Lytechinus pictus: one gene and its partner. The protein of the gene in region 2 purifies or fractionates together with the protein of the main gene of each other region. This does not show direct contact. Links are inferred from orthologs where the notes say so. Each region holds a gene or a part of one and is shown on either strand. Other genes may lie near its edges.

Region 1 (16,869 bases), on a different chromosome or scaffold from region 2:
ACAAAAAACAAAAATTATTGACAACCACAATATCAAAGTTTTACTTCAAATATCCAGACTCACCCAAAGAAAAATAATGATCTGTCCAAAATATCAGTAAGAAGATTAGATTAATAGCGGAACTAATTCATCAAACTTATCAATTTCCCATGACATCAAACTTAGACTGAATTATATTTATCTGCCTTCTAAAAGATCTAATGAATATTTAGTGTCTTGTTTATTCTTTCTAGAGTGATCTACTTTTCAAATTCTTAAACTTCAAAGATGACAATAGATTTTTCTGAAACCATTACTATTCTAATTTACATGGTATGCACATAATGCATTTGCATTCAGTCATTCTCCTAGTTAAATCTGATCAATGAGTAATCATTTCAATGCATAAACCTGGCTGGTTGCGAGATATTTTCTGAAATAATAAAAAGAAAATGAATATCTTGCTATCCTATCCAAAGTGCAAGTACCTCACTACATGTTTGACAATACACACACACAAAAAAGGGGTTAACTTTCAACATATAGCTGCTATAATATAGAGCTGATTGTAACAATAAGAAGTAGAAATAAAGATAACTTACTTAGAAGGATTCCACTGTAAGCTCCATATAGGACTAAGACCACCATTAGGTCTCTCAATTTTGAGCTTCTCTTCACCATTCTATAAAAATAAGCATGATTCATAAAATCATATTTTATCACATTGAACCAGAAAAAAAAATGATAATAATAATAACAAATAAAAACCATCTCACCTACTTTGTTTACACAGATGTTACACCCATACACATCCCAAATCCCATGAATCCTGTTCTGTAGTGTAATCATTTCTCCCTACCTTCAATGGCAAATAAAGATTTGAAAAAAATGTTCCAGTCATTTGATTATTCAATTACATTTCGTTTTCATTTCCTACAAAGAAATATATAAAACGATACTGAGCCAAATTATATTTAAGAATTGTAAGCGAAATCACATGTACGTTCATCCATTTAGTTTTTCTTTTTCTCTAAGGAAGTTCATTGCATAATAAGAACATAGGAATCGTTGCCAGCCAATTTGGATATTATACGGATTTAATACAGGACATAATTTGGAAATACTCAGAACTGACTCTTCAAGATATGTAAGATAATTTTTTATTTTGTTTAATGTATGATCTATTTCCTGTAAATAAAGAAAGGAATCAAATTTAGAATTAATCTAACTTGTTATTTTTTGCCATATCATAACAATGGTTTATTCGAAAATAATCTTAAAATCATAACAGAGAAATCGTACTGTTTTTTTTACATGTGATTCAGAAAATACTGAAATATGACTCGAGATAATATACAAATAATGAATGTTTATGAGTGCAATGGACAGAATACTTCATGAGGTGAAAGATGAAATGATCCATTCGACGAGGCGTAGCCGAGAATGGAATGGATCATTTCATCTTTCACCGAATGAAGTATTCTGTCCATTGCACAAATGAAAAGAACATTCATTATTTGGTTTATATGACACCTAAAAATAGATTCTATTTCATATGAAATTTGTGAATTTCGATGCAAAATATGCTAATGCAGTGCGAGCTTGGTCTGTTGATTATCGCGTGGTGCCTGCATTGTAGTCTGGGTGCGCAAAATCATATGGATCCAAAATTGCACGATGAATGGATCTAAACTTGCATGGTTGATAACGTCATTGTAGAATGGGCTGAATGATCGATATCGACCAACCAATCAAATGACAAGGATCTACCTAGGTGTCATATAATATCATCCAATCGGCTGTCTCCTTATGAGTATTTACCTTAGTCCTGATAGTGATACATCCATTATACAGTCCTAAAGCTAGGTACTGACCATCGTTAGTCCAAGAACAACATGTAATACGACTTGTCACTTTGTGTTTGGAAACAGATTTTTGCTCCATGGACCATAATCCTGAAAGAAAAAAAATAGAGGTCAACATATATTCTGATGAAAATTTTCCACCATACATGTATACATGATAATTTCATTCAGTATTAAATACATTTGTCGCCTTTCCTTTTAACTTACTTAAATGGAAATTAGATTTTAACAGCATTTTTTGTTACTTAAACATTTTCTCAATATTTTTTATTTTCAAATATTATAGCAATAGATGTATCCTAGAATTCATGAAGTAGTGACCTGTTGAATTAACTGAGCCTGCTTGCTCCATAATATCATTTTATCCACCCTTCCACTCCATCTCCTTTTTCTCTACATGAAAATCATTTAGGACCCCCCGGGAAAAGAAAAAAAAAACTTTTTCATATCTAACATTACCAACTCCGAAATGCAAGACATAGGTATAAATTTTAAAGAGAATTAAAAACAGAAATGTTCCTCAATTTCTTATATATCATGTCAGACAAATTTGTACAAAATAGGAACAAATGCACTGAAATTACCCTTTTCTGTTTCTCCCTAAACTAAGAATACTGTAACCCTTTTCAATAATAATAATAATAATAATACATTGTATTTATATTCAATAGACACAGTTGACAGGAACTGTATCTTTGACAGTCTATTAAACTTAGATTAAAGTAATCAAAAGAGGTTTCCTCATAAAACAAATGATTTTAAACACATATTAGGTATGTCTCACAACAGGTATCTTAATATTTTTACAAAGAAATTTGCCTTCAATTATTAAATGATTATCTTCAAGAGAATTTTAAGGGTACCATAATTGCATTATGTTCAATTTTATTTAGATATCTTGGAAAAGGGGAAGTGAAAATATTCAACAGGTCGCTTCATCTAATGTGTACATACAATACTTACTGTATTTTTGGAGGCTTCTAATTTTCAAGTGTAAACTATTTGTTGCCCTCCTTTTCTTGTAATGAAATTTCCATATACGAATGTACATTAGATGATGTTTTAATTATTATCAAGAATAGATTGAATCGAATTGAATATATGAAATTTAGGACATACTAAAATCTAAGGAATAAACAAGAAATAATACTAATGCAGATACTAACCAAAATCACTGAAAGCACAACTAGCCAGCTGATGTGTGATTGGATTGAACCCAAGACATTGAATGGCATCATTGTGACTGTAATAAAACAATACAAACAATTTTTTTTAATGTAAAAAATAACGATTAGAAACATCCCTTATTCTGTTGTGATTTGTTTGAAATCGCCTTCTGTTCATTCTTGATAAGTGCAAGTAAAAAACAAACAAATGTGAGCATGTCTTTACTCAGCACCATTTTTTAATTTCAAATTAATGAATTCTAATAAATGCTCTGAAAATTCAGTAGTTCTTTTGCTTCAATTATTACTGAACATCTATATTCTTTTCATCCTTCACATTAATTTCCTCTTCATGACCATCAATCATCAACACCAGTTAAATCAATTTTAAATATATTGCCTTCTTTTAGATGTAAACCAAGACCATCGGTGCCCTATAAAAAGATAACATATGAACCTTATCATTGCTGTACAGTATACACCACTGCATTTATTCGGGGGCATTGAGAATAACACTGATGACTTCTCTACAGGCTGGTAATCAAGTAAGTTGCAGGATAAAGTATAATTAAAGTAATTGTCTCTTGTATCACATGACTTACGTATATTTCAATATTCCTTCTAGTTTTGATGTCCAGATGATGACTGTCTTGTCCGCTGATCCCGAAGCAAATCTTTTACCATCCTTGGCGTATGCCACACAATAGACAGTATCTTTATGACCCTTCAAAGGCTGCATAAGTGTGCCATCATTAGTGTCATAAACCTATGACATAAAACACATTGTATGATGAGTTTTGTTGATATTCAAGAACCTTGGTAATACTACTAATATTTTAATCTTATTGAAAAGCTGAAAAGTGTGATACAGACCATGTGTAAGTAAATTCAACTTAAAACAGAGTAGATCTTAGACTGAAATAAACAAATGCACGATGAAAAAATAATCGTACTTGATCGAGCTAATTATCTTGAAATAAAAATACAAGCATTTGGTATGAATTGTTGAGTTCTGCTCCCACTAATGTTCCAGTAAAGGAACTTAGGAAGAAAAGAAATAAAAAAGTTTAAATGTGATTTTTCAAATTTCTCGCAAGTTTCAAACACATCAAGTTGACTATTTGATTATGAAGATAAAAACAAACAATGTGAATATCTACTTAAGGCAGGGTTGGGCCCAATTACATTCCAAATACATTCCTAATTACATTCCAGAGATGATCTAGCTACTAACCATCTTCTAATTAGCATTACAATAACCTGCTTAAGCCAGCTAATGACCAGATTATAATCAACTTGACAATAATTTTTCATTGGGCTGACTTTAACAGGTTAATATAATGTTAATTAGAAGCTGGTAAGTAGCTGGATCATCTCTGTAATGTAATTAGGAATGTATTTTGAATGTAATTGAGCCCAACCCTGCTTAAAGGCAATTTATCTTCAAAGGCCATTATGATGATATACTATCAAACAACTTCAAAATCTCTTCCAATACTATGAATTCATATCTTTATTTAAAATGGTTTACAGGGAAGAGAAATACAGAGGAATAACAAGAAATTGAAGAAAAATAACAAGACAGGAAGATGAAGAAGGAAAAACAAGAGATAAATAATAAAAAGGAAGAGAAGCAAACAAGATCAACTGACTTGAGTTACAATCTAATAAGATTGGGGATTAGATAAGAACTTGAGATATATACAACTTTTAATTTGCAGTTGGATTTCTCAAATTCTAGTATGCATCAAATATCATAGAGCATTGTGAATAAATTTTTTTCTCATAATATTTTCCAACTTAAATCTAAAGAATTTATGAATTATTGAAGGAAAAATTATTTAATTTGCATCTTTCATCTCAAGTGTCGAAATTTAACTGACCAGAAAACATACAGCACTCACACTTAATGCAAGGTTTTGCTGTAGCAGCAGTTGATGAGCTCTTTGAATGCATACATCAAAGAAATGAAATATAATATTTCACTTGCGGGAATAAGACATTCCACACACAGGTAATGGCTTCCTGAGTTGGAATACAGACATAATAATATCATGGCTTACCAGTACTCTATTACCAGCAGCAACAATAAGTTGGGTTCCATCAGGCTTGAATGCAAGATCATGAATACTGTTTGATAAAAGGAAAATATGCCGATGAATAATTTCTAAAGATCTAATTTTGTCTCAAAAAGGTTAAAGGCTAGGTAAGTAGGTTATGAAGTGAAGCCATGATTACCTCAACAGATTCTAATATTTTATATATTTGCCAAATTGAGTATTCAATTTTACATAAATAGTGACACCTACATGTACATGACACTAAAACATTATATTTATTTAGACAAAAGAGAACCTGTATTCGCCTGTATTAATCTTCAAGTGTGAAAGACACAGGTCCACCCTGAGGAAGAAGAACTTCATGAAATTTGAACAAAGACAATCGTAACCTGCCCAAATGTAGGTGGTTTCTCTAGCAATTGAATTTAAAGTTTCTTACCCAAATTTTGCCCAACCCAACCTTCCTAAACAATCTTTCACCTGAATGTCTGTACATCTATCATCAGAAACTACAATATTTTAGCTTCAATAAAGATTTCTTGCCGTCTCCGGACTCTTGACCTCAATGAGTCAGGTTGAGCAACAATGCCAGCACTGTAGCCAACTAAATCAGGCAGTTCATGACATGTTTGGTGTTATTGAACTTGCTAACACTATCAGTAGCAATGTCTTCATTCAAGTGAAGTGTAGACAGCTAAATTAGTCTGTTTGGAAAATTGCAGTACTGACATTTAAAAAAAACTTTGTTGGTTTATCCTCGTGTCATACAAAAAATACAAGATGGCTAGCCATCCATCCTGCTCACAGTGAAAGGGAACTCTACCCCATAGACTCAATGCATTATTCCCCTTTAAGTGGGGGATTTGATGTTTAATAATGATTCTTATATAGGTTGGCATGGACATTGAACTTTCGTCGTCGTTGGATAGATGTACTCTTTCCGCATGATGAGCGGGACTCGATCGAACCCCTCATCCTCGAGTCAGTTTGAGATATAACATTAGTACGGTCTAAGTAGATCTAGACCAAAAGCTTCGGTCTCTGTTATATTGGTTGTTCCGCTGAACTCCGTTGGCTCCACTCACCAATTACACAGACCGAAGTTCTAACTCGATCTGTACAGGGACTCAATGGACATATGTTTATGTATTAAGTTCAGATAAACTAGGGAAGTGGGAGTTGCGCGACAGCCGAAGTAGGTCACTGTTTTTTGTCCTTTTTTTTTCATTTAAATTTTTAAAAAATACTTGCATCGGCCGATAAATATCATCATATCTTGAATCGTAAAATACTTGCATCGGCAATAAATATCATATTTATTGGCCAATGCAAGTATTTTACGATTCATGATATTTATCGGCCAATGGAAGTATCTTTTTTTTATTTAAATTGGCACTGCTCATGATATTGTCGCCCTCTCTTTTAGCTAGGCTACGATAACAAAGACGGCAAGATGGCGACAATAACATCTGTGAGTATCTGCTCATCTTCTTACATGATTTTTCTTAATTGTTATATTATTTTTCGTGTAAAAAGGTTACATTTTTACATAAGTTTGTAATTAGTAAGTTAAAGAAATCAAGTATTTTGGAGCAACATTGTTGTCTCCAAATACTCGGTGTGTGTGGGCCTATGGCATCCCATCCCAGGCTTCATGGAGAGTAAGCCTAACGTCCATGCGCAGTGAGTTGCCATGTGCAATTTTTTTACTGTTGCGCCACTCACCTGTCACTGCCTGACCAAAATGGTTCTAGAAATCATTTGCAATGTTGAAAAGTGTCTTGTGGCATCTGATATTAATCCTCAGTAATTCCCTGAAATGCTGCAACATTTGGTTAAAAGATCCAGCAAAAGAAAAAGGAGTTTAGCGCAGTCAAAATCAGACTGTCAATGTTTTTATCGTGTATAGCTGAATTAGTTACCCTGTATAAAGATGTGAAATAAATAAATACAACTTGCAAACTTGGTCCATACGGTGCAAATTTTAGCTGCCATTTTTCTCGGGCGAAGATTTAAGACGCCCACACTAAGCAATCAATGTTTCCATAGCTGCCCGCTCAAGTTACCAATATTTGCTATCAAAATATAGATTATAAAAAAATGCTCACGATCATTTCATTTTGAAAGTGGGGGTGACAATTGTTATCAAAATAAGAGGGGGTGGCGTCTCAACGTATATCTCAACCCAAGGTCTCAACAACGCAGCTGAGTCAATGCACTTTTGTGTACGATCGGTGCGTGTGTGTGCGCATGCGCGATATGTCTGTGTAGTAAATGTATTGGACGTTTCGAATCGGTGACTCAAAATTTACCCATCATTGTGTCACCGTTCCGAAAGTGCGTAATTCATGACATTCTTACTTAAAAATGCAGCAATTTCAGGAGAAAAGTTTTTCACATATTTGAAAGGATTTGTGGATACTTTCATCTCATAGACATAACTTAGTCATATGGGTCATTCCACGGGGTTGGGGCAACAGCACTTTTTTGTGTTCCCTATGAATTGTTGGCTTTATCCTGAGAATGTGTTTGGCGTTTGGATGTTGCAATGTGGTTTTGTTGGAAGGCAGTTATGTAAGCAATTACTTGATGCAGAAATAAAAATGTTGAACCTCAAGTATTTTTGATGATGAGACTTTAAATGATGATGTCCAGACTCTTTTTTGGGGTACCAAGTGTGACATCCAAAATGGTCATTTTCAGTTGAAGATATCTAATTAAAAGATAAACTAAGTCAAATTCAAATGGCCATGATTGATAAAGCAACATTTGTTTAATAACAAAACAGTAATGGGATAGCAAATGAAAAGAGGCTTCATATCATTATTAATTCCTACAACATCGCATACCACCGTTACATGCGATGTCCGCCTTTATTTTTTTCTGTAACGGCGGTAAAGTGGTAAATAACTAAAAGTCAGAAATCATTCTTTCCAAAGTTATGTGTCAGAAATAAAGGGCAGGCAGTAAGCAACTTTTCATCAAAAGATTAGCTTTGAAAACCAATGTTAATGTCATGTTAATTAATCGAGGGTCGCCGATGTTTTGGGCGATGTCCGGGTCAAATTTGTAACGGTGGATCACATTTCATCGCGTATGTAAAAAGGAGAGACCGGAGAAGAGACCGTCGTTGTATGTATCAGACGGACGGGATGTTAGCCGAAATCCACGTGCACATGAACGGCTATGATATCGGGTGTTTTGCAGCATTGCAATTGGGAATCTTCCCGCAATGTCCGTGTAACGGTGGATTGGATCTCCACGATGTTTTCCCTTTCAAAGCGACGTAAGTACGGAGATTTATCCCGATACTCGTATTTTTAAATCAGTTAAACCTTATCTTAAAAATGTGAAACTATATTATCGTGCAGAAAGTGTTTTTAAGTTTGAAAAATCTCGCTAATTTTCCATAATCTTTTACTACAGTCCCACATGTATCTTTTCGTGTAAGTGAAATATGTGATTGAGACATCGCCGTGTTTGTTCCAGATTTGCTAAACGGCCCCAAAGAAATAATGTTTTTATTACTGTGATTCCGTGCAAACATGTTTTGAATGTTAGCTGACATGATTCAATCGCAATTTAGTTGATTTTTTTGAACACCGAAATATGTTATTTCAATAGGCCAATGGATACTCAAAACTGCTCTATCACCGATGATCATGCTGACATCTCAGATTTGGTACAAAATCTCGCCTTGTTGAAATTGGCTCCTACTGATTCTACGTAATATGGGTATCAAAGACCTGATGATCAAATTTGAATTTCCCCCAAAAAATGAGAGTTTAGAACCAGTGGCAGCGCCACGGGGGAGGCAGGCCCCCCCCCCCCCGCCCATTTTTTTTTTTTTTTTTTTGCTTGTCAGCTGATCCCAATCCGAAAGAAGGGGGGGGGGCAAAATAATGTTTCTGTTACTACCCCCTACACATAGTGCATGTGCTTTGTGTATGATGAAGCATGGCCATAATCCAATTACTAGTAATTCTTGGCTGTAGGCCTAACCTTCCCAAAACTTTTCATCTTGTTGAATGTTATACTTTTCAGCACATTCTTTTTTTCTCTCAATATTTTTTCAATATTTTGTATTTTGATTTCTATATATTCAATTGTAAGGAGAGGGGGGGGGGGGATTCGTTTTATCAGAAAGCAAAAGCCTGTGTGATTGTTTTCAATGTGATTTTTTTTTATTGCAATATAATGAGATTTTTAAAACATGTACAAGTGAACAAAAGAAAATGTGACACAATCAAGTTTGTTTCACAAGAGTTTATTTGCTGTATCAGAAGGTAAATTGCAGATTTGAATTCCATTAATTTATTTAATTCCAATAAAACATACATATATTATGTAATTGCTTGAACAATTAAACTTCAGCAATGAAAATTAAATAGGATGGTCATAAAAAACTAAATGGAATTGTCTAGATAACCACCCTTGATTAGAATGCAGAATAAAATTAGATTAAATTAATCCATTGAGAAATGAAATTGAAGTACAGATAATTTATGAAAAGGTAATGGGCAAGTAATTGTATTGTGAAAACAAAGTAGAACACAACAACACAAATACAAAAACCTTCTATAAAACGTAACTTTATATTTAATTTATGAACTATGAAATGATGAATTCTATTTGCTATGAAAAAATACAAAGTGAAGGTTCCTGTGTATTTTGCAAGAACAGATCAGATTCATTGTCCCTAGTAATCCACCCCCTTTAATGAGAAAATGTCAAGACATAAATAAGTAAATGATTTGATATGATATAAAAAATATTTGCTTATTGCTTAAAAAATATAGTCAAACTTCCAAATACTATTTTTCTCAACTACAGGTAGCCTCTGTTCAAGGTGAAAATGTATATCTTCAGTACATGAAGTGTCAATCTGGTGACCTGTACTCCTGGCCTGATGGCGAGGCACAATTCTACCTCCATCCACTTTGTGACATTGACAGAATCCTCTTCCAAACTGAAATTTCTTATTGGGTCACCAGTCTTCTTGAAGTTCATAAACTTGTAACCTGAATGCAGAGAGAAATATTGCATGTTAATTTTAATAGTCAGGTTTAGTGTACAGTGTAATACATTTTTTTGCATTTGCCAGTAAGAAGTTTACCAAAGAGTTCTTGCAGTTTTATTTTTGATCATTAGAATAGCTTAGTACATTTTACTTTCTCGCTTACAACTCTGTTAAAAAAACAGAAGATATAAAGGTGGTGAGTTTCTTAAATTAAATTTGTCCACTAAGTACTTTACAATTGTCCTTTTCACATGTTGGAACTTAATGTTTTATCTAATGTATGTAAGTTCCAGTGATGACATGATTATATTTTAATTAATGTCACTTCTACACTACCATTTTGAGGACATGATGTCCATGTAACTGAGGTAAAACAAATTAGAGTTAACAAATTGAACAAGTTTATATGTGTAAGGTATAAATGCGTTGTCCATGTCTTCCATGCGAACTTTGTCTTGTTTTGTCTTGAAAAACCATAGCTTAGAAGAACTAAACTAGTACCTTTTCCCTACATATTTTTCACCTGAATATTGTATCAAAGGTATCAAAAAATTTTATAATTGTGTATGAATAAAAAAACATTTTACCTGTTCATTGATATGAATTACAGAAGCTTGCTTGTAGATGTTGTATTTCTACACTTGAGTAAGATGAGTTAACTTGCATTTAGTGTGTTGATACTAGAAAAATATGTCAAAATATTCAAGTAATGCTATTCAATATGACCATTACAAGGACATGATGTCCGTGTAACAGAGGTATCTACATTTGAAAGTAATATCTTGAAGGAGATATTTCAAAGTAATAAAAGATTTGGAGATCGTAAGATAGCACTGTTTCGTTTTTTCCCCTTTAGACAGAAACATAAATGTTTCCAGAGACAGACGGAAGTGGAACCTTGAGGATTAGTATGATTTTAAATATAATGTCAATAATTTTGTATATTTTTCCTTGTTTAAACTCTAATTTAAAGTGCTTTTACTTGCAAAGAATTTGACATGCAAAATGTTTTTCTTCTAGTATAATCAATTGAACTTGTGCAAATATTCTAAGGCAGAAAGGGTAATTTGGTATGTAATGACCATTAATGGATCTTAACTTACAATGCTTCAAATTATACCTCTGTTACAGAGACATGATGTCCATGTAACGGTGGTAACACCAAACAAAAATAGAAGGTTAGGCCAGAGAGAGTAGTTGAGTTTTTCCAAAGAGAATATTCCATTCTGTTGAGGCATGACTTCTCTCAACTATTTAGTTCTACATGCCATCATAAATTGAATTTTCTTGACCGGTGAGAAAAAAGAACGACACATAATTTGTCAATAATTTTGTACATTTTTCTTTGTTTAAACTCTAATTTAAATTTCTTTTATTTGCAAAGAATTTGACATGCAAAATGGTTTTTTTCTAATATAATCAATTGATCTTGTGCAAATAATTTAAGGCAGAAAGTGTAATTTGGTATGTGATGACCATTAATGGACCTTAACTTACAATGCTTCAAATTATACCTCTGTTACAGAGACATGATGTCCATGTAACGGTGGTAACACCAAAAATAGAAGGTTAGGCCAGAAAGAGTAGTTGAGTTTTTCCAAAAAGAATATTCCATTCTGTTGAGGCATGACTTCTGTCAACTATTTAGTTTTACATGCCATCATAAATTGAATTTTCTTGACTGGTGAGAAAAAAGAACGACACAGAACATGGCACTGGTATACACACAGAGCATCAAGTTCCATTTATTGATGCTAAATCTTTCAAAATATATATGCCATGTTGGAAAATGTGGAATAAAGTGACTAAAAATATTGTTAGCAAAATATTTATTGAGAGGAATTGAGATCAACCCTTTTATTTTGACAGTGGGAGAGTATAGTCTAAGTAAGGATGATAAATGATGTCCATGTAACGGTGGTATTTTGTCAAATCTTGTTTCGCAATTTACTCAAATATGCAGGGTGGTATGAAATGCCTGTAAGTGGATTTAGTTGAAGAATTGTCCCATGAAACATATAAGAAAAAAAACTTTTCATTTATTACATTTCTATTTTTTGACCCTGATGTCACAATTTTTGCCCCAACCCCATGGAATGACCCATATACAAAGTAGGTATGTGAATATCGCGCGATGTGATCTCAATACCGCGGCACCGGCAGCGGTTTCAGAACGAGTTTGGGTTGCTCTGTAAGGGGTGGCTTTAAATGGGTGTAGATTTGGCGGCTTCTCACCAATTTGGCTTATTTTCACTGATGACGTAGCTGAGAAAAATCCCCTTTGCCTCGTTGTCAAATTTTGAAGATCGAACGCATAGAAGTTGGATTTGGCTCATGTGAAAGTCTAATGTTGTCTTTACCATCGTGACCGGCCCTGAAGGTAAGTTTTGACAGTTTTTAAACCTATTTTAACAGCTTGTTCATATATTTTTCTTGGTGTGTGGTGAATATAAATCGAATCTAAACATCCCATCATTTATTTTTTACTTCCTCAAAATTGATTGTCAGAAAAAGCAAACTGCTGCGAGAGTTGCGTGCTACGCGACCATCATGAGTGCAGTGTCGCCGGGAGCCCTGGCATGGGTGCACCGGCTCAGAGGGATTATGCTAGCAGTTTGTGCATCGCATTGATCGAGTTATTATTTGCTTTTGAGATCTAGAGTCTACTTGTTTTATATTTATATTATTAGTTATTACATCCTTTGATGATTATAAATATACACATTACACAATTTTAGCTTGTTTTCAGTATTTTGTTGTAAGATAATTGGGATGTCATTTATCCTTTATTTAGGCAAACTTAAATATACCAAAACAGGATTTTTTTTTGCAGCAGTGAGATTTGAATAGATAACTAATTAATTTGCAAATTGATAATTACTAATCAATACATTTATCAAATACTGCAATACTGAGATCTTTCTGTACGTATTCAATGTTTTATCATTCTGAAAGTTTTATTTAGAAGATGTGTTGTTGCAGAAGTTCCTGTCAAAAAATTCTGAACAATAAGGAAATTATATAAGTCAGGCCTCTACAAAAAAAAGTTTCGTCACTTGCCCTGTTGGGCAAGTGATGAAAATATTTGCTTGCCCTATTTGTTTTATAATTTTTTTTATTGACGGCACTACTCTTATTTTTAAAGGTCATACAAAATAACAATTGTCATCTTTGTGATACAAAAACAGGGCTTACGAAATCTTATTATTCTCTGTTTTGGGCATGGCACATTTATAATACATAGCTTATGGGTAATTGTACAAGCTTTTTATTTTTAAAATCTTAAAGTACTCAGATTGATTTGACATATTGGCATATGATTTCTTTGATTCAAGGGCAACTACCCCTGGACGATTACCCCCCCCCCGGACAATTATCAGAGGATTATCAGAGGATTTTTATCAATAACTCCGGTCCAAGGTACGCAATTACTTAAAGTGATTTATATTTCCCTGATAATGGAAACCATGAAACTGTAAATTTCGCTTAAAAACAGTTTTAAATCGCGACCTATATAACGTTAGTTCACTTATACGTTGGCTGTACGAACGGGCACTCATCCTACGGCTACGAACGAGGTTATAATATAACCTCGTTCTCGGCTGTATACCTCTCTATTGTTAAAATATACATTGCTCATTTTCCCCCCATCCGTTGCCCAAAGCATCGCGAATCAGTTCATACTTGAACTGATCCGTTGATGTAAACTGTTATTTTGACGGATATGACTTGAAATTAATAAATATGATATAAAAAATGAATAAAAACTCACCGATTTCTCAACATGAACCTCATCCAACTGCCTCCATTACGTCTATGGTGTTCGACAGTGACAAATCGAAAAAGAAAAAAGATCTCACGAAACCATAGAGGCTCATCAACCCGTTTGGACCACTGACCGTTGAGGTTTCGACGAAACTTTGCTCGTAATGCATTCTGGTAAGGAAGTCTTGATAGCCTCAATCAAGACAAATTTGCAATTTTGTTTCATATTGATACATAGTCAAAAGTGATACTAGTAGTTGTGAAACTGAAATGAAATAAGACATTTTTGTATGAAATAAAAAAATAAAGGAGAAATTCAGTTGTTTCGATTTTGTTAATTTTCTGTTATGGGACTCTTGATGAAGAAGCCCCTTATTCTTTTCTGATTAATGAACCTGACGATAGAAATACTTTTAACAAAGTTAGGCATTAATTTCCGAATTATTAATGTAACAGAAGTTTGGAATAACAAACTTTACTGTGGGTCTAATCAGGGGAGAATCCAGGATTTTCCAAAGGGGGAGGGGGTGGTTTCTTTTACAGAAAAAAATAACAAGCTCCCCCCCCCCCCGTGAAGGAGATTTATGTAACGAATAATTTCACAATTATGATAACAGCTCCTCGCTATACAGTAGGAAGTTTCAAGTTTGTTTTCATTGATTTAAAATCCAAACCTAAAGGATTTTCATTAAAAAATAAATAAAATAAAAAATCTCTTACCACAAAGGCCTATTTAGGGGCAGATCAAAATTTTCAAGGGGAGGGCTGGAAAGTTTCAAGTTAATTTAATTGATTTCAAATCCAAACATAAAGGATTACAATCAAATGAAATTAACAATTTATATAAATTATCAAACAAAATGGATGCAAAATAAATCTGTTCTATTGCTTTCGAGGGGGTGGGCACGAGCCTGATGTGCTCCCCATCCTGGATAAATAAAAGAAACTCATTAAAAAATATTGGAACGTAATTATGTTCTGTTTCATCACTTTGTCTTGAGTTTCTTGCCCCTTTCATTGTTTTCACATTTCACCCTTTACCCTTATTAATTTCAGGACAGTACAAAATGTGGGCTTACAAAAGTGATATGATGATGAAAATGAATATTCCACAACAATATGAAAAATAATAGAAAACCAAAATAATAATATTAAAGGAGAATGAAACCCTTGAAACCAGCTGAATCCATATCAAAGAGAAAAATCAAAGAAACATATTGTTGAAAGTTTGAGGAAGATTGAATGAATAATAAGAAAGTTATGAGCATTTAAATATTGAGATCACCAGTGCCATGTAGATCCTCCCATCGGCAATGCGACCAAGATCTGTGATATCACACACGTACAACTCCCTCATTACTCTAGTACTTATTTCACTTATATTCTCACTTTTATAGAGTCTATCACAAGGTGAGGTGTTCTCTTTATGAGATGACAAGTACAGAGGTTTCACAACATTATACCATTGATGAATCGTTTGTCATATGATTAGAATAAGCAAAAAGAGATGTTTTGGGGTATATTTTCAGTGTCCAAATGGGAGAGTTGTACGTGTGTGACATCACAGATCTTGGTCGCATTGCCAATGGGAGGATCTCCATAGCATTAGTGATCTCGATATTCAAATGCTCATAACTCTTTTATTGCTAGTCCTATTTTACTCAAAGTTTTGTTGATCTTATTCTTTGATTTTTCTGCTTTCACAAAAGCTAACTTGCTCCAAGAGTTTCATTCTCCTTTAATAATTAACCCTTACAATGATAGTACTCAATAAAAGAGAGGGATCGAGAGAAGAAGCAATAACCCCCCCCCCAAAAAAAAGGCATCATATTTCCTTTCACCATACGACAAGATACAGTTCATTATAGAATAAACTAAGCTGATGGCGTTACAACAATTATTCTTGTGTATAAAATAATAAAGGGGAGAAAGAGACTACTATCGCTGGATCTCGGAGATCCGAAATAGAAGCATCACCGGAAACAGGTATCTGTGGTGAGAAGCATTTTTATACAGCTCTGTAGAGGTCAGTGGTGTGGTTGCTTCCGTTAGCTTTCTTTAATTGAGCACAAGAGGGCGCATTACATCCTCTACGTAGAAGTCTATGCGCTGCTGAGGATCATGACAAATTTCATCATACATTCCGACGATTTCCCGAAGAGTCTTCGAATAAATGACAATATATCGTTGGGTCCAAGATAAATTCCAGCAACAACGGAAGGAAGATCAACGTTTGGTTCTGGGGGAAAGACTGTTAAGTCAAACTCTCTTACTTTTACATTTTTTTATAACAAATTTTGTCTATGAGTACGCCTCACATACCTCTAGTCCCATCCCCTACCTTTTGCTGTATGGCAAATGGTCAGGGATGACGAGTGCGTATGGGCCTCCAAGCTCTGACTTCAGTCTATGTATTGGTGAGTGGAGCCAACGTAGTTCAGCCAAAAAATACAGAGACTGAAGCTTTTGGTCTAACCATAGTCCTACCTGTAGATTCCCCACAGGCAGGATGGTTGAAGAGAACAAGTGCGTCTAGCACTGTGTCTGCGCGATCGCTCACCCGACTGAAGTGCCTACCTATAGACCTTATCGCAAATAGCATCTGTCGCGTGAGGGCGTCTGTCATCGCAGAGGATCACGGGATGCGAAAGGGGGCAAACGCGGAATCGGCTTTCGGGAAGCCATACAATGCCATATGTTTTGTATAGTGTCACTCAAAATCCAGGCTTTTTCTAAAGTCTGATTTCTTCGTATTTAAATTATTTTGGATACTTGAATGTGGATTTATAGAACAATCTTTGTATCATGATTGCCCAGTGAAAGTATGAACTCAATAATCACCGTATTTTTGAAGTTTTCTGGGGCTAAACTTGGAAAGATTTTGTGGGAAAAGTGAGACGGTGATTACGGGTCAATGCCGATCGACTTTAGAAAAGAGCACGTCGGCGATCCGAATTAGATAGCATATTTTTTCCATTAAAGAATGTTCATGAGAATCATAATGTAGACCATAT
Region 2 (16,538 bases):
TGCGTTCAAAATAAAAGGGTCAGATGTTAATTTACACCATTCTTGGTAATGCTCTTTCAGTCGGCCTCCGACTGCTTTCTTTTCCTCACAATTAGTGGGTACATAATTTTGAGAGGCACTTACCTCTTTGTTTTCTGCTTTGTGAGCTATTTCCTCCTTTGGCTCAGCATGTTGCTCTGACCCGGTCCGGCTTGTTGAGCATGTGACTTTGTCTGATGGGGCCAGCCCTGTGCTTGGTGAGGTTTTCCTCTCCCCCGACCTCGGGGGGCATGGCCTAAAAAATGACTGTCAGAGTTCCCGCTGTGCGGTTCGTAGGGTTGGGTAGCAGTGCTACTGGCTTTGCCTTTAGAACGAGCCCACCCCGCTGCAGCAAACTTGTGTTGAGCGGCAGTTGAATTTCTCTGGTAGGGGTGGTAGTGGGGTACATGTTGTGAGGTGCGAATAAAACCTAGCCCTTTATTCCCGAGGCCTGCTACTGCTTGTTGCTGATCTCTCAAGTCCTTGACTTGTTTACTCAAGTCATCTCCTAACAGAAATCTTGTCACTGGAGTGTCAGGCTTACAGAGGTGGTTATATCTGCGGTGCAGACTAGGCTTGATGAACTCCTTTCGGAGACAATTCATCTCAAATTGTGCATTACAGATGAGTGCCATGGCATCTTGCTGCGTTTCAGTCATAGACTGGGATGAGAGGGTTCGAAGGAAAGCATTCAGTCCTTTGGACAGGGATTTTTGTACCCTTTGCATCTTAAGATCCCTCGACTTTGTTTGCGGTGTTAAAATTTCCCATATAGCTGGGTTAACGCGTGGAGTAACGATGGACTGGCAGTTATCTGGTAATGGATACTTCGCAACCACATCGGTAAGAGTTTTGCCCTCTAATTGGTTGCCGACAAGAAAGTTGGCTGACTGTGCTATGTCCTGATCTATGGGCTCCCCAATGTCAGTTGGCGTAGCAAATTTTGCCGCAAGAGAAGGAACTGCGATTGGTTGGGGCTGCTTCTGACTAGATCTAGTCTGACTCTGTGCCTGTGGCCAGGAGTCTGCAAGTTCAATTTCATCATGTTCATTCCCATAGTCATAACTAGATAAGTTCTCAGAACCACACACTTCATGCTCTATGTAATCCATAGGCATAACGCAATCTTCGTAATCCGGATTACCGGTAGACTCACCCGCGGTGAAAATCTCGCCAGGCTCTACGTCCCTTGCCCTCGGCAACCCCGACCCAGCGGGTGCGGGTTTGGCCGGCTTGCCGATCGGTGCCGGCTGCTGCCCCGCAGCGGGAGGCGAAAACATGTGGCGCTGAGTCTCAGCAATATTGGCCACCATTTTCTCTAGCGCTTGGAAACGTCTGTCCATATCGTCCGACAATTTCGGGGCTGTAGATTTTACCTTTGGCTGAGCTGAGGGCTTGGACTTCCCACTCGATTTATGGCTTTTAGCCTTGGGTGGCATAGTCAAAAGTGTCACGTCGCTTCCAGCTTTGCTGGCCTCATCGACGGAACGTTCATCCGCCTTCCCCGCGAGCGGGGAGGCGGAGGTGGTGGGCTTTGCCCTCGAGATCGTGCCTTTGGCACTGATACTAGGGTCATCGTTTTTACGATCCGACATAATGCCTTAAAAAACCACAAACACGCAAGAAAATCCTTGAAAGGGTGAACGAAGATCACGACCACGAAAAAGTTGATGAAAAATGTCCAAAAACACAAAATCCTTTGGGGAAAAACGTCGAAAAAAGTAGTCAGTCTCAAGACTAAAATTATTCCATGACCTCGCTAAAATGGCGCTACTAACGAATTGAAGTCAAGACCTCGTGCGCTCACTGGCGGGCTCTCTCATTGTGACGTAATTCTCAACGTCATTACGTCATAAAATACAAAAGAACAAGTGGGGATGTGACATCATCAGCCCATCTAATGAATATTCATGACAACTGTTTTCACGAAATATTGCATAAACTTTAAAATTCAATAATATGTCTCCCTTATAATGAAATAAGTTGCAGCAATAAATATCTAATGCACTAAATCAGTTATCAATCCAATTTTTCTAGTTCTTGGAGGAAAAAAATTGAATAAACCTAATTTCATATAATAAAATACAAAAGAACAAGTGGGGATGTGACATCATCAGCCCACCTAATGAATATTCATGACAACTGTTTTCACGAAATATTGCATAAACTTTAAAATTCAATAATATGTCTCCCTTATAATGAAATAAGTTGCAGCAATAAATATCTAATGCACTAAATCAGTTATCAATCCAATTTTTCTAGTTCTTGGAGGAAAAAAATTGAATAAACCTAATTTCATATAATAAAATACAAAAGAACAAGTGGGGATGTGACATCATCAGCCCACCTAATGAATATTCATGACAACTGTTTTCACGAAATATTGCTAAACTTTAAAATTCAATAACTTTAATATTTGTTATCCAATTTTGATGAAATTTTCAGCATTTTGCTCAGTGAATTCTACTCTATTTATCAAGCTATAAATACTTTCAGCACGGACCATCCCTTTAAGAGTCAATTTGTAGGAGGTAAATCAACACCAATGAAAACTTGATGGTTATCATCTTCCACAAGAAAGGGTCACCAGTCATTCGTAAATTTTTGTATAACTTACAAACGGCTTTATTAAAGTTCCGCCAGAGGGAAATATCCGATAGGAATCAATCTCTGAATACACTAAATGCTGTATAGGTTTGTTAGATTTTAAGCTAGGCTATTCATAGTACTCTGGATATACACAGAGATGTTATATCATACAAGTATAACATTAAAACATTTAATTTTGGTTGTGAATTTGAATATGAAAGAAACTGTCCCAAAGTGATTGTGAAATGTTGTTTGTAATGCATTTCTAAACTGGAATTGCCAAAAGAGAACAAACTGACTCAATACTTCAGAATAATTAACATGTATGCAATGCAAACTGATGAACATATTATATGGGATTAATCCAAAAATTGTTTGTCAAACATCTCTTGGATATAATGTTGACCAAATTCATTTCTAGTACATGCAGGTAATAATAATAGCTGGATTTATAAAGCCCTTTTTGCCAGAGGATACAAAGCGCTGCTATCATTACCCTGGCTCTAGCTCAAGCTACCATCACCGCCGCTCAGTGCATGCAAGGAATTACTCCTGCCAGGTACCCATTCACCTCACCTGGGTCGATGGCAGCACAGTGTGGATAAATTTCTTGCTAAAGGAAAACACGCCATGGCTACGATTTGAACCCACGACCCTCTGTTCAAAGGCAAGAGTCAGAACCACTAGACCACGAAGCACCCACAGGTACTATTGGGGAAGAAATGCAACTTACCTTCCTCTCCTCCTACAAAGCAAGCATTGCCATCCGCTAACAGACTGGAAGAACCTTTGTACAAATTTGAGCTCCATGGGGCACTCCGATCACTTTACACCATAAATTGACAAAAAAAGGAAAGAAATTGAGTGGAAATCTACATTGACAAAGTAAGACAGCAAAGATGAGAGTGATAGTGAATTGGAAGAGTTTTTTTCGAGAGATTATTGAAAGAGACACCCGAATAAAGTGACATAAAAATATCTTATTTCTAAGAATATAGAATTGTTTGTCAATTGTTTAATTTGTAAATTTTCTGGAAGCAATCCTTTATGTTTTGACCTGAATCCATACACATTATAAAAGCCATGTAGATATGACTGCATCACCTATCCTCAACTCCCAGTTAAATTCTGAGAGGATAGCAATGATTGTTCTTTTCATATCTTCTTTCAATATTGTACTACTGATTTATTCTATAGATGTATTAAAGCCAAATGTGACAGTAAACACTAATTAGTGTATGATTGTTAAATCAATAATTGAATGAATGCATAAATAGCAACATTTGCATGCTAATGGATACCAAAACAATACAAACAATTAAAGACAAGAAATATCACTGACAGTAATTACCACCCCTTACCCCCCCCCCCATCCAATGCCGTTACCATGGCAAAACAGTTTCCAATAAATAGAGAAAAAATGTGTTGCCCCTCTTTACTTCAAGACAAGTGTGCCAAATTTCATGAGCACTGGTAAAAAAGTGAGGAAGTAGTATGAAACTTGGAAAAACAAGCAGGGCCCTGGAATGAGTTTTAAATAAGAGATGCTGGGGGTATTATGAAGGGGATTGTCATCTGGAAAAAAATGACAAGAAAAAAAAAATTAAATAAAGGTAATTGCTCCCAAACATGTCATTTTGAGAGGTTTTTTTTTTGTTGTTGGCTTGTCAACCTGATTCCTAGGGGGGTGCTGCCTATGGTTATTACATATGCAGCACCCCATGAAAAATCTTGGGCGTGCTATAGCACCCCCAGCATCCCCGCTTTCCAGGGCCATGACCTCAAAATTTTTAACAAATTTTTGCCCTAAATATAAAAATCATCAACACATGCAAAAATGTGCCTTAAGACCAATGTTTATGCAAAATTTTGTATTAGAAATATGTTAAAAAGTGAGAAAGTAAGTTGATCCACAACATTTGCAATGGACAAACCTGCCAATAACCTGATGAATAGTAAGGGCAACAATGCCTTAATTTAATCTGCACACAGCTCATTAAATATAGAGTACATCCCAGAAAAAACGAAACCAAGATTTATCAATGATTTTCCATAACTTAATCACAAATACAATAGACAAATGTAAAGCTGAGTGTCTCCTCTTTCATTTGAAATAACTTAGATTATTTATCATTCATGCATGAGTGAGCAAAATCAATTTGAAGAAAGGAAACCAAAAAGTCACTTGGCGGGCTGTATCTGAGTTTCAAAAAGAAACTCACATTTTTAAAAATTTCAATATCTGCTCTTAAATTTGATACCTCAGTTACAGAAAACGGTCAAGAAATAACAAAGTTCTGTTTATTTGAAATAAGGCTTGAATTCCAATAATTTCAAAAAATGAAGAGGTTTTACTGGATAGCTTTCAGACTTACTCGACACTCCGTTTTGTTGACGATCAGCCATGCATAAAGTCTTTTGTTAACCGTGCGATAGCTTAGGTGAGAAACCGGTGAAAACATGTATGTTTCATGAAATTATGGAAATACAAGCATTGTTTTGAAGAAGCATAGCTTTGTTATTTCTTGACCATTTTCTGCGATTTAGCTATCAAATTAAAGAGCAAATATTGAACTTCTTAGGCATGTGATTTTCTTTTTGAAATTTTGATATCTCCCGCCAAATGACTTTTTGCTATCCTTTCTTCAAATTGTTTTTATTCACTCATGCGAGGATGAGAAATCTTGTATGTTATACCAGCTGAGAGAAGAGATTCTAAGCTTTACAATGATAGGTCATTTGTCTACTGTATTTGTGATTAAGTTATGATAAATCATTCGTAAACCTCGGTTTCGTTTTTTGTGGGACGCACTGTATACTGAACATTTCTAGTCAGGAATAACACTTGAATGACAGAAACCAGGATCTGGGGTGATTGCACCCCTTTCAAACTTCATTTGGCGAAGGTAAAAAGGATAGTTGCTCTTACTCATCCTGTTTTGGTCCACCATAGGGAAATAAACATTGAGTTGGCGTCTGTTGAGATGGTAATTGACTGATGGGATTACTAGTCAGATGACCTTTTCCGTCACTCTTCCACATGATCAATGTTCCTTCCTATAATCAATGTTAATCAAGAAAGCGAGAATTAGTAATCTCCTTCGATATTCCTGATTATTGCATAACAGACCTACATTAAGTGATATGATATATAAGCAAAGTGTAAAAGACCCGGTTATCAATAACAAGGGCAAGAATGCTATGATATAGATTTTTTTTGTCAAATTAGATACATTCAGTAGCTTATAACAGAATGTTAAATCTTCTTGTGGAGTCAAGCAAGGAATAAGTTTTGTTGACCAAGAAAATTTGTCGTAGTTCCATAGAAGTTAAAAGACAATTTGTATTGTTATGCCATTTTGTTATTAGTATTTATGTATGTCCTGTTTAGGCTATTCTATGTACCCAGATATGTCCTGGTCGTAATTCCTCCCACGTTTGTACTCATTCCTTTGTTTTGAACAATTTGAATGTTAAATAAAGTGATGAATCACTACATACCTATAAAGATACATCCCTTGTGCACATACATGTCATGCATCAAGTTGCAGCTTTATGCATAGAACTCCAAACTCATGCATGTGCATTTGATATCATATCAGAGAGATATAAAAGCTCAGATTAATACAGGGTTTATTTTAACAAGAAACTGATAGATCCATAAGAATCCAGGAGGGGGGTTCATGAAGAGCTTTGCAAATTATTTTTTACTGACTAATTTGTTCTCAACCAATCAGATGCAATTATTTCTGTAGCTTATATCATGTCAGTGAATGAAGAAACAAAACTCTTCATAAAACACTTGCCAAGTCTGACCTTATCTCCTGATAATAAACGTTGACCCTTGACACTCCATTGAAGCAAGCAGACCTGAGCCTTGTGAAGTTTGGTGGCTTCCTGAAGCTGCTGATCTTGCTCATTCCAGATTAGAATCTCTCCACTCTCCCATCCTACAGCCACTGAAGGATGGGTAGGATGCCAGGCCAATGAGGTGGAGTAGCAAGAACGTTGAAGATTAGCTGCTGGAAGGGCTTGACCCTAATTAACAATACACATAAATCAATCTTCCTTTATTCAGAGGAAGGGCAAATAAACAATGACAGGCAGTGATAAAGATAATTCATAGAATTATTATTCATGAGTGATTTTTGAAGGTTTATGAACTCATTTGTCGCACACACGGATATATTCCGTTTCATAAGCGATTATTTTATTTTGATATCGACAAGGGAAAGAAATTGAAATGTTTTCATTTACATCATCCACTATAAAGATTAAACCACACCAAAAATATCAACACAGAACTTGAATTCACAGTATTTTCTTTCATTAAAAATATTGTTCCTTTAAGATGAATAGCAATCACTTTACGTAGATAGAAAATAAATAACATGAAGATGGGTCATGAAAAATGTAAATCTTTCTCGAGAGAAAAAAAACCTTTTCCTTACCTCTTCATTGAAAATGTTGATGACACCTCCGCCTTGCTGGCCTCTCATTGCAATAGCAAGTAAAGGTTGTTCATTATGCCATGATATATCTACATGGCTAGTTGAGCCTGACTGAACTCGATGATCAAAGAAAATAGCCATCTTGGATACAACAAGCTTGTTCTTTCAAAATGATGTGGTTTCCATACAAATTATAGGTCCGTCCTCGGACCTAAGAGGTAAATGAGCAATATGATTCTGTAGAAAAAAAAATGGGAAAGGATAATCTTTCTTCATTTTTGCAAAGTGAAAAAGGCTATATTGTTCATTCTTTAATTTTCTAATCTTAGGACAGTCAATTGAATTAGAGTAAGTGAAGTTACTAGAGGTATCTGTATTTTGCTTTGAAATTGTTGAACCTCCATTTGAAGAAACTATCTTCTCCCTTTATTATAGTTTTCAGAATTAAGACAACAAATAATGTTCAGCAATATTATGTGAAAACAGTAACATGCAGGTCATCATAAATATTCATTAGGTGGAGAATAGCCCCGGTCCGACGGTCCCAGACCGGTAAAAATCACTGTCGGGCCAGTAGATTTTCAGAAATAGCAAGATTTACTGGTCCGACATGACCAGTAAAAAAATATCATTGTCGGGCCAGTAATTATTCCTAAAATAGCAAGATTTATGGGTCCGACATAAACAGTAACAAAAACCATTGATGGGCCAGTAACTTTTCCAGAAATGGTCAAATTCACTAGTCCAACATAAACATTAAAAATATTCCATGACTCAAATTGCAAATCATCTTCCTCCAGTTAATTTCTGTCATTCACACACAGAATACACACAGAATGAATTGTATGCAATTTTTACTAGGGTAACATACAGTGTACATATGGCTAGCCAGCCACACAGCCACATGGTAAATTTTCTACTATACTGGCTGCACGAACGAAGCTTGGCTAACCTCTGGCAAAAATCTCTCACAGAACTGTCAAAATTCACATTTCACACTAACATGACTACTGAAAAGCTCTTGTAATGTCCATATTTCCTAAAAATTGGGGTAACTCTGTCATTTGTAAGCAGTAAAAGGAGAAATTTTCACTTCTGTTTTAGTTCAAAGAGATCGGGTTTCGAGTGATATCATCTGAATACATGATAGCCCCACAAATGCTTTTGTGTGTGTGTTGATACACTTGGGTTCTTTCGTAGCTATACATCTTAATTGAGCCAAAAAGAAACTGATAATTTATTTATAATGATAGTTTTAGCTTTCTTCCTCTGTTTTCTTTCTATCTTTCTTTCCTTCTTTCTTTTCAATCTTTCTTTGTTTCTTCCCTCTCTTCTTTCATTTTTTATTTCTTTCTTTCTTTAATTCTTGAGTTCATCCATCCTATATTTATCTCTTTCTTTCTTCCTTTCCTTCCTTCTTTTTACCCTTTCTTTCCTTCATTCTTTGTCACTTTCTTTCTTTGTTTCTTTCTTCACTCCATCCATCCTTTCTTTACCCTTTTTTATTTCTTCCTTCTTTCAGCCCTTTCTTTCATTCATTCCTTCCTTTCTTTATACTGTTTTTTGTTCTTTTTTCCCCTTCGTTCCAACTATCCTTTTACCTTTTTTTTTTTTTTTTTTTTTTACTGCTTGCTTCCTTTCCATTCTTCTTTCGTTCTTTCCTTCATTCCTTCCTTTCTTTGTCTTGGCCTCTTTTTTTCTTCCTTTCATCTATTCTTTTATATTTTCTTTCTTTTATATATTGCTTGACTGCTTCCTTCCTTCTTTATTTCTTTCCTTCATTCTTTTTTCCTTCTATCTATCATTTTACCTTTTTTTTTTTCTTCCTTTCTTCTTTCTTTCTTCCTTCTTTCCATCTCTCCTTTTAGCCTTTCTTTTTTATTGCTTCTTTCCTTCTTTCTTTCCTTCATTACTTTCTGTCTTTTGTTCTTTTTCTATATTGCTTGCTTCATTTCTTTCCTTCTTTCTTTCTTTCCTTCATTTCTTTATTCATTTATTTTCTTTTGTTCTTTCTTTCTTATTTTGGTTCTTTCTTTCCTTCCTTCCTTTCCTTCTTTAGTTCTTTCCTTTTTTCCTTCCTTCACATCTATCCTTTCTTTACCTTTTTCTTCCTTCCTTCCTTTTATTCATTCTTTCTTTCTTTATTCCTTCTTTCCATCTCTCCTTTTACTCTCTCTCTTTCTTTTTTATTGCTTCCTTCTTTCCTTTTTTCATTAATTTCTGTCTTTTGTTTTTCTTTCTTTCTTGCTTACTTCATTTCTTTCCTTCTTTTTTTCTTTCTTTCCTTCTTTCTTTCTTTCTTTCTTTCTTTCTTTCCTTCCTTTTTTTTCTTTTGTTTTTTTCTTTCTATTTTTTGTTCTTTCTTTCCTTCCTTCCTTCCTTTCCTTCTTTCTTTCATTAGTTCTTTCTTTTTTTCCTTCCTTCACATCTATCCTTTCTTTACCTTTTCTTTTTTTCTTCCTTCCTTTCTTTTATTCTTTCTTCCTTTGTTTCTTTCTTTTTGTCTTGCTTTCTTTTTGTCTTTCAGTCCTTCATTTTTTTTTTTTTGGGGGGGGGGGTAACAAAAAAGGAAAGCAAAATAAACCAACGCCTTTTTTTTAATGTTTTCTTTATTTTTTGGGACCAGTAGATTTTAGGTTCGGACCAGTAAAAAATGGAAAAACTGGGTATCTACTGGTCCGACATGAATAGGTTGGACCAGTAGAAAAAAAGAGTTAGTGTGGAGCCCACTATTAGCGCCACCAACAACCTTCCTTTTATTTCCGTCGAAGAGACATGCGGAGCAACTTTCCAGGCCGAGGTAAGCGATTTTGCTCTTTTTTACATGATTTTTACATTAATAAAATTTGTAAAATTGAAAATGGAACGCTTTTCACCAGAAAAAGTCCTGGTGAGTAGCGGAATGAGTTTCGACTAACATTATTCGCGTTATAAAGCGATGGTAACCGACAACTCTAAAGTCCATACTGTAAACACGTATGGTGAGACCACTACATATCGACCACCTCTTTTGAAACCGACCACCTTGCGCGCATCAAAATTATTGCTCATTACAAACGATACGCGCAGGAGAGTAGGCGCAGTGTCCATAGGAACGGTAAGAATTGATTTTTACAAGAGAAAAAGAAGGGGAAAAGGGTAAAAGGGTAAAAATTTAGTAGAATTTATCAAAATTGTATGACTAGACCCGAACCCGCCCCGTTTCCGATAGGAAACGGCTTTAGAACAAATATCCGTCATCAATCGTCGAATCATGTGCCAGAGCTCGCAGTGGATGGAAGTAGTGAGACAATGATTTAGCATGTTGACATCATAGAACTGATTTGAAAGAGTAAAAATATTTCACCACCGCGACAAGAATCGGCCGTAAACTTAGTGTATTGCAGGTGGTCGGTTTCAAAAGAAGGGTGCAAATGAGCAAATGTAAAACCGTCGTATTCGTTGTTCGCCGATATATACGCGAATTGAATCGGAGTTGCCGATCGAAACATGGGAATCTGATCTGCTCAATTTTCTGCACAAATGAGACGAAAACTAGGTAAAACTGATGAGTGATAAATATTTTCGCAGATATGATGCTTAGAAAATTAGGTGGTTGATAAGGGGTAGTTCCAACCATACGTGGTGCGAGGTTTGTATAGTATAGCATACTAACCTCGCAATACGTGTGAGTGAGTGGTTTTGGCCCATGACCTAGACCAAAAGCTTCAGTCTCTGTATTTTGGTTGTTCCGCTGAACTGCGTTGGCTCCACTCACCATACATAGACTGAAGAGGAGGGGGGCCCCTACCTACAGCCAACGTATAGTGAACTAGCGTTTTATAGATCGCGATTTAAAACTGTTTTTTAGGCAAAATTGACATTTTCATGGTTTCCATTATCAGGGTAATATAAATAACTTAAGTAATTGCATACCTTGGGCCGGAGTTATTGAAAAAAATCCTCTGGATGATTGAGAAATCTGTCATCTAAGACATTTTCACCTGACCTGACGGTTTTTCTTGCAAGTTGCCATCTTGAATGACGTCATTATCGTTATTAACTTTTTCATGTCTCGATTTATCGCGATTATAACTAGTATCGTTTATCTTCGTGTAGTGTATCGTATCGTATTAGATCAATTAGATTTAGGAGGTGCCGTGGCCGAGTGGTCTAAGGCGCCTGGCTATACATGAAAAAGTCCGGGGTACGATCCCCGGCCGCGGCACCTATGCCCGTCAGCAAAGCATTTAATCTTCAATGCTCTTTTATCCTGCTTTCAAATAAATGTAAATGCTATATGCATTATTGGTAACTAGGTGTGCACTTGTTTAAAAAAAAAAAAAAAAAAAAAAAAAAAAAAAAAAAAAAGATTGATTGACGATATGATTTACTACACACAACAAAATAATGCACCTGGTTTCTTAATGGCAATAGATTTTGAAAAAGCGTTTGATTCGGTCTCGCACATCTTTTTGCAAAACGTTTTACGTTCTTTTGGCTTCGGGTCCTCATTTTGCAGCTGGATCAAAACATTATACAAAAATGCCCTGAGTTGCGTATTTAATGGGGGTATATCGACAGGATACTTTAGTGTTGAAAGAGGTGTGAGACATGGGGATCCCCTCTCTCCTTATTTGTTTATACTTTGTATCGAGGTCCTTTCTAATACCATTCGTAAAGATAAATCCATCCACGGAATCAGCTTTGGTAATGTAGAAGTCAAACAAGCGCTCTATGCGGATGATATGACACTTTTTGTGAGGGACTCCCAATCTATTGATAGAATCGGAAAAATATTTGGAGATTTTGCTAAGATTTCAGGCTTAAAAATGAATAAAGAAAACACATTTATATTAGCGTTGGGTCCTCTTTCTACAAAAGATATTAAAGTTCCATTTGGTAAATTAGTTGAAACTATCAAAATATTAGGAATAACTTTATCATTAGATGTAGAAATTCAGGAAAATGTTAATTACAAATAGATTCTAAGTAAAATAAAAAAAATTATTTATATGGTGGAAGCAAAGAGACTTTCTGAAAATGGGTTTAGATGGAAATGAAATAGATAAAGTTTATAAAGTTTTTGAAAATATTCCAGCAACATGGAAACACCTATTGAAGAAAAAAGACAATTGTGAAGACACTGGTCTAAATCTAGAATTTATATTTAATGGTAAGATTAACAGTTTACCAAACGTGACATCTAATAAAATATACAAGGCACTTTTAAGTATTAAATTAGAAAAATCGTATGCGTTTGATAATATAAGACATATAATTTCTCCGAAAAAGATATATGTGCTATATTTTCAAGACCCAGAAAATGTACTCTAAGCAGTATAGGCTTAGAGAGTTTCAATTTAAAATGCTTTATGAGTTAATATACACGAAGAAATATTTACATTTATTCAAAATTTTCTCAGATAGTGAATGTTCATTTTGTGGGAATACTGAAGAAACTTACGAGCATCTGTTTTTCTCATGTGAAAAGACGAGAGACTTATGGATAGATTGCGGTAACTTATTCAATATGTATGAAATAAAAAATGCCAGGTGGGTGGATATACACATTGGTGTTAAGCATGCTAATATAGGGAAGGAACAAATAATTAATCACATTATTCTTTTAATAAAATATCTGATCTTTGTTTACAGCAGGACTAAAAAGACCACCAAGTCCCAACGAAATTAGAGAGAAGATATTAGAAAATGAACGTGAAGAGAAAATTTTAGCAGTAACAAGGGGTAAATTATCAAACCATATAAGGAAATGGGAACATTTCCTTACAAGAGTATAGAGGCGACAGAGCTCACGAGATTATGTTCGTTCATTATGGTGTTTTCTTATTTCAGACGGAACGCGGCATCATATGCAAGGGTGTACGAAAAATGTTTGAGGGTGTGAAGTGTGGGGGTTTGTGGAGGGAAGGGGGGGGGGGGCAAGGAGGGGGCAGGTGCAACGCATATACTTTTATAATTTTTTTCTCTGATATTTGTTTGTTAAACTCATCTGGTAGTGGTACGATGCAGTCTTAGAATATTATTTCATGATGTGCATAATGTATACTAGTTTAAGAAATTTATTTGAATTATTATTTACAATTGTTACTTTGTTAACTGCATTGTATGAAATTTGATTTGAGAGAAAAACAATAAAACATCTTTTAAAAAAAAGTATATTGCCATGTAGGTGTGCTGATTGCTGGTGGTAATTTTATTTGATTCATTAATTCATTTTAGTAATTATGTCTGACTACTGGTGTTGTAATTGTGACCGTAATTTGACTAATCATCCTAATAAAAGAAGAACTTTGAATGCAAAAATGGATCACCGTGATTACACCACTGCTGACGCTGTCGAATCATTAGGAATTAAAGTGACACCCGATCAAATATAAAAAAAAATCATTTGCGACAGATGTTGCAAAATAATTTTGAAATTATCTGAAAGTAATTCAAATGTAATTGAAAATAAATCCAAATTAAAGAAAATTAGTAGAATCAATGTTTACTTGGGGAGGAAGGTGAAGGTGACCAGCTATGCTTCGCCATTTCTTCGAAAGAAACGAAGACGACTGACAAGCCCACAAGCACAGACACCCCTTCAAAAAAAAGATGTGACGACACAAACACAGCCAGAAAAACGGCGGGTAAGTTTCTCTTTAAATCACACATTTCGAGACTTGATTGTCCATAGACACATTAAACTACATTTTACCGAGCCCAAAATGAAGAGATAAGACAATAATCTGTCAAATGATAAAAATAGAAAATCAAATTAACCACAAGAAAAAAAAATCAACTTGACCAGTTGGACCAGTAACTCTGGAAATTGGAGTATTGGTTTATCGGTCTGGTAATACTGTTCTAGTTACAAATAATACTGCTCCAGTCATTGGTATTGAATAGGCCTATAGTAACTGGGATTTTAAACTGGTCTTAATTATACTGGAGTCTGTTACTGATGTTTTGGCTTAGTGGTTGGTATCCAACTGAGTGAACTCAATTGGTCTTACTGGTAGTCCCTATTGGTCTTATCGGCTGTTCATTTGGTCTTCCTGGCGTAACAGGCGCCGGGGGGGGGGGGGGGGGGGGAGCTGCCCCGGCCCTGGCGGATTTCACCGAGAAAAGGGCGAAAAGAGAAAAAGGTAAAATGAAGAAAAGAAAACGAGGAAAGAGGCCGGGGTGGGAGGAATGGGAAAGGTGAAAAAGCAAAGGAAAATGACAACAATAAAGAAAGAAAGAATTAGAACATGCGAGAAAGTATAGGCCTTAACATGTCTTTAGCAGGAGACTCAGTGGCATGGACAAGAATGGTGGACAATGAGAGAAATCGACAAAAAGAGATACGAAATGAAGGTATATAGAGACAAAGGTTGAATTTGAAAATCAGAATATGAAGAAAAGGAACAAGAAAAAAGTCAATAACACGACAAAGCTGCCGCGGATTGAAAAAAACGAAGGGAAAGAAAGTGTATGAAAGTGAGGTAAAACACGTGCTCAACAGTGGCGTAACTACGGGGGGGCATGGGGGGCACGTGCCCCCCCCCCCCCCCCATCGGCTGGCCAAAAAAAGGAAGGGGGGAAAGTAGAAAAAGAAGGATAAAAAAAGGAGAGGCGTAGTAGAGGAAGAAGAAACTAGTGCATATTCTATTATATTAAGTTATATATATATATATATATTATATTATAATATATTATATTACATAAATATTTTTTTTTTTTTTTTTTCATAACTCTAATTATGAAACATATTTTGCTAAGGGCCTATGACATTGTGTTCATCATTCCTGGTGCTCGTAATTTCTGTTTGATGAAATATATAATCATGTTGTACTAAAAAATTCCGTTTTCAAGTCAATATACACCATATACATGTATTTCCTTGCACTTCGAGTTATTGTTTTATGTAGTGACATGCTTCTCACTCATGACTACTTAAAAGAAACTGCCCCTTTTTTAAAGTCTGAATGTAAAATATTCCCAGTTAGTGCTTACGTTCGCATCAATGGACTGGTGAGATATGTCTGCTCTTCATGAATTCCTGAAAACAGTCCTTAAAATTTTCCCTTTACTGGTCTGAAAACTCTATCAGAAATTTTCAGCTCGCGCTTCGCGCTCGCATAATTTAGTAAGTGAAATACGTATGGCCTTAGTGAATTTTTACAAACAAGCCTAAGAATGCCCCTCTTCAGGTCTGAATTTCAAAAATCTCAGCTCGCGCTTCGCGCTCGCATTATTTAATCAGTGAGATACATATCTGTTTAATGAAACAGTCCTTAAAATGCTTCTATTACGTCAGTACCTGGCAATTGAGCGCGCTTCGCCAGCCCAGTAAATGACTCAAAATTTTTGCTGGTGCCCCCCCCCCCCCAATGCCGTGACCCACGGTACGCCACTGGTACTCAACATCATCAAAGAATGACTGGAACTGGTCATGACCAATTGGGAATTCAATTTCAAACAAGAAATTTTATCAACCCGACCAGTTTACTATAACATTTATCTGAAAAATATTATTCTTTTATCTCTTAACCATAGTGATAATATATATAATGAAAATAATGACAATGATGATGATGATGATAATAATGAAATAATAATAATCATAATAACGATGATAATGAAATATTACTACTACAAATATTAATACTTACAACGATAATATTTAAAAACCACAATGATTTTAGCGATAATGATAATTATATAATAATAGTGATGATAATTTTATCTTTAAAAACCAGCAAGCGCGTATATGATTACCGAGGTAGAGTGTACGTATCCTTTTCATGAATTCAAATAAGGAGCAGATCGTATAATATCGAAAGCAATATCGATATCACATTCATGATTGTTGACGCCCTCTCCGTTCGTTTGTAAATATTTCATAGTTTGGCTGCCATATTGACCATTTTTATCGTGTTCAACCCAATTAAACATCGGTAAAGTATAATTTTTCATGCCTTTTCATCTATATCGTTTAAAGTATTTTGTTAACAAAATATCCAGTTTTAAAAGTTTGTTGGTTATACATCCTTAGATTGTAAATTCGATGTGTAAAATTACATCAAACTTTGGACTGTGAATTGACAAAAGGGTGGGAATGAGAACACATGCGAGCCCACACGTATACCCTACCGTCGGTTAATGGGGATTAAAGTAAAATGTCAGAAATTGTTGAATAAATCCCCAGAAACGACGGTTATTCCTGTCTACCCATGACCATGACTTTACTTTAGTCTTGCATGTCTTGACTTGTCTTTACTTTATTTAGTTTGGGCTCAAATTCAAAACATGATTAAGTAAAATGTGTGATTTAATAGATCTAGTTTCACCGTGGGAAAACCCACGGTATATATTTTATTATGGGGAGCAATGCCAATGGTAACCTGTCCCAGGCTTCATGGAGAGTAAGCGAAGCCTACGTTTACGTGTCAGTATACAAATGATGCATGGGTTAGAGTGGGTCAGTAGGAACTGTGTGCACAAGGTAACTTT

Evidence for each region.
Region 1: the proteins of intraflagellar transport protein 140 homolog (region 2) and intraflagellar transport protein 122 homolog purify together in Homo sapiens (affinity purification with mass spectrometry; 4 studies listed by BioGRID and IntAct, counting the BioPlex papers as one, with this or other methods). This does not show direct contact. The link is inferred for Lytechinus pictus from reciprocal best matches to the Homo sapiens genes IFT140 and IFT122.

What each region holds. Positions count from the first base shown.
Region 1 is NC_087247.1:78,865,465-78,882,333, forward strand, and holds the start of intraflagellar transport protein 122 homolog, read right to left. Parts: upstream 6,894-16,869; 5' UTR 6,796-6,893; intron 5,141-6,795; 5' UTR 5,074-5,140; intron 3,777-5,073; 5' UTR 3,750-3,776; coding exon 3,613-3,749; intron 3,088-3,612; coding exon 3,011-3,087; intron 1,935-3,010; coding exon 1,801-1,934; intron 662-1,800; coding exon 582-661; intron 1-581. UniProt on the Homo sapiens protein: As a component of the IFT complex A (IFT-A), a complex required for retrograde ciliary transport and entry into cilia of G protein-coupled receptors (GPCRs), it is required in ciliogenesis and ciliary protein trafficking.
Region 2 is NC_087254.1:17,767,467-17,784,004, reverse strand, and holds the start of intraflagellar transport protein 140 homolog, read right to left. Parts: upstream 7,294-16,538; 5' UTR 7,200-7,293; coding exon 7,059-7,199; intron 6,646-7,058; coding exon 6,424-6,645; intron 5,665-6,423; coding exon 5,537-5,664; intron 3,433-5,536; coding exon 3,341-3,432; intron 1-3,340. UniProt on the Homo sapiens protein: Component of the IFT complex A (IFT-A), a complex required for retrograde ciliary transport and entry into cilia of G protein-coupled receptors (GPCRs).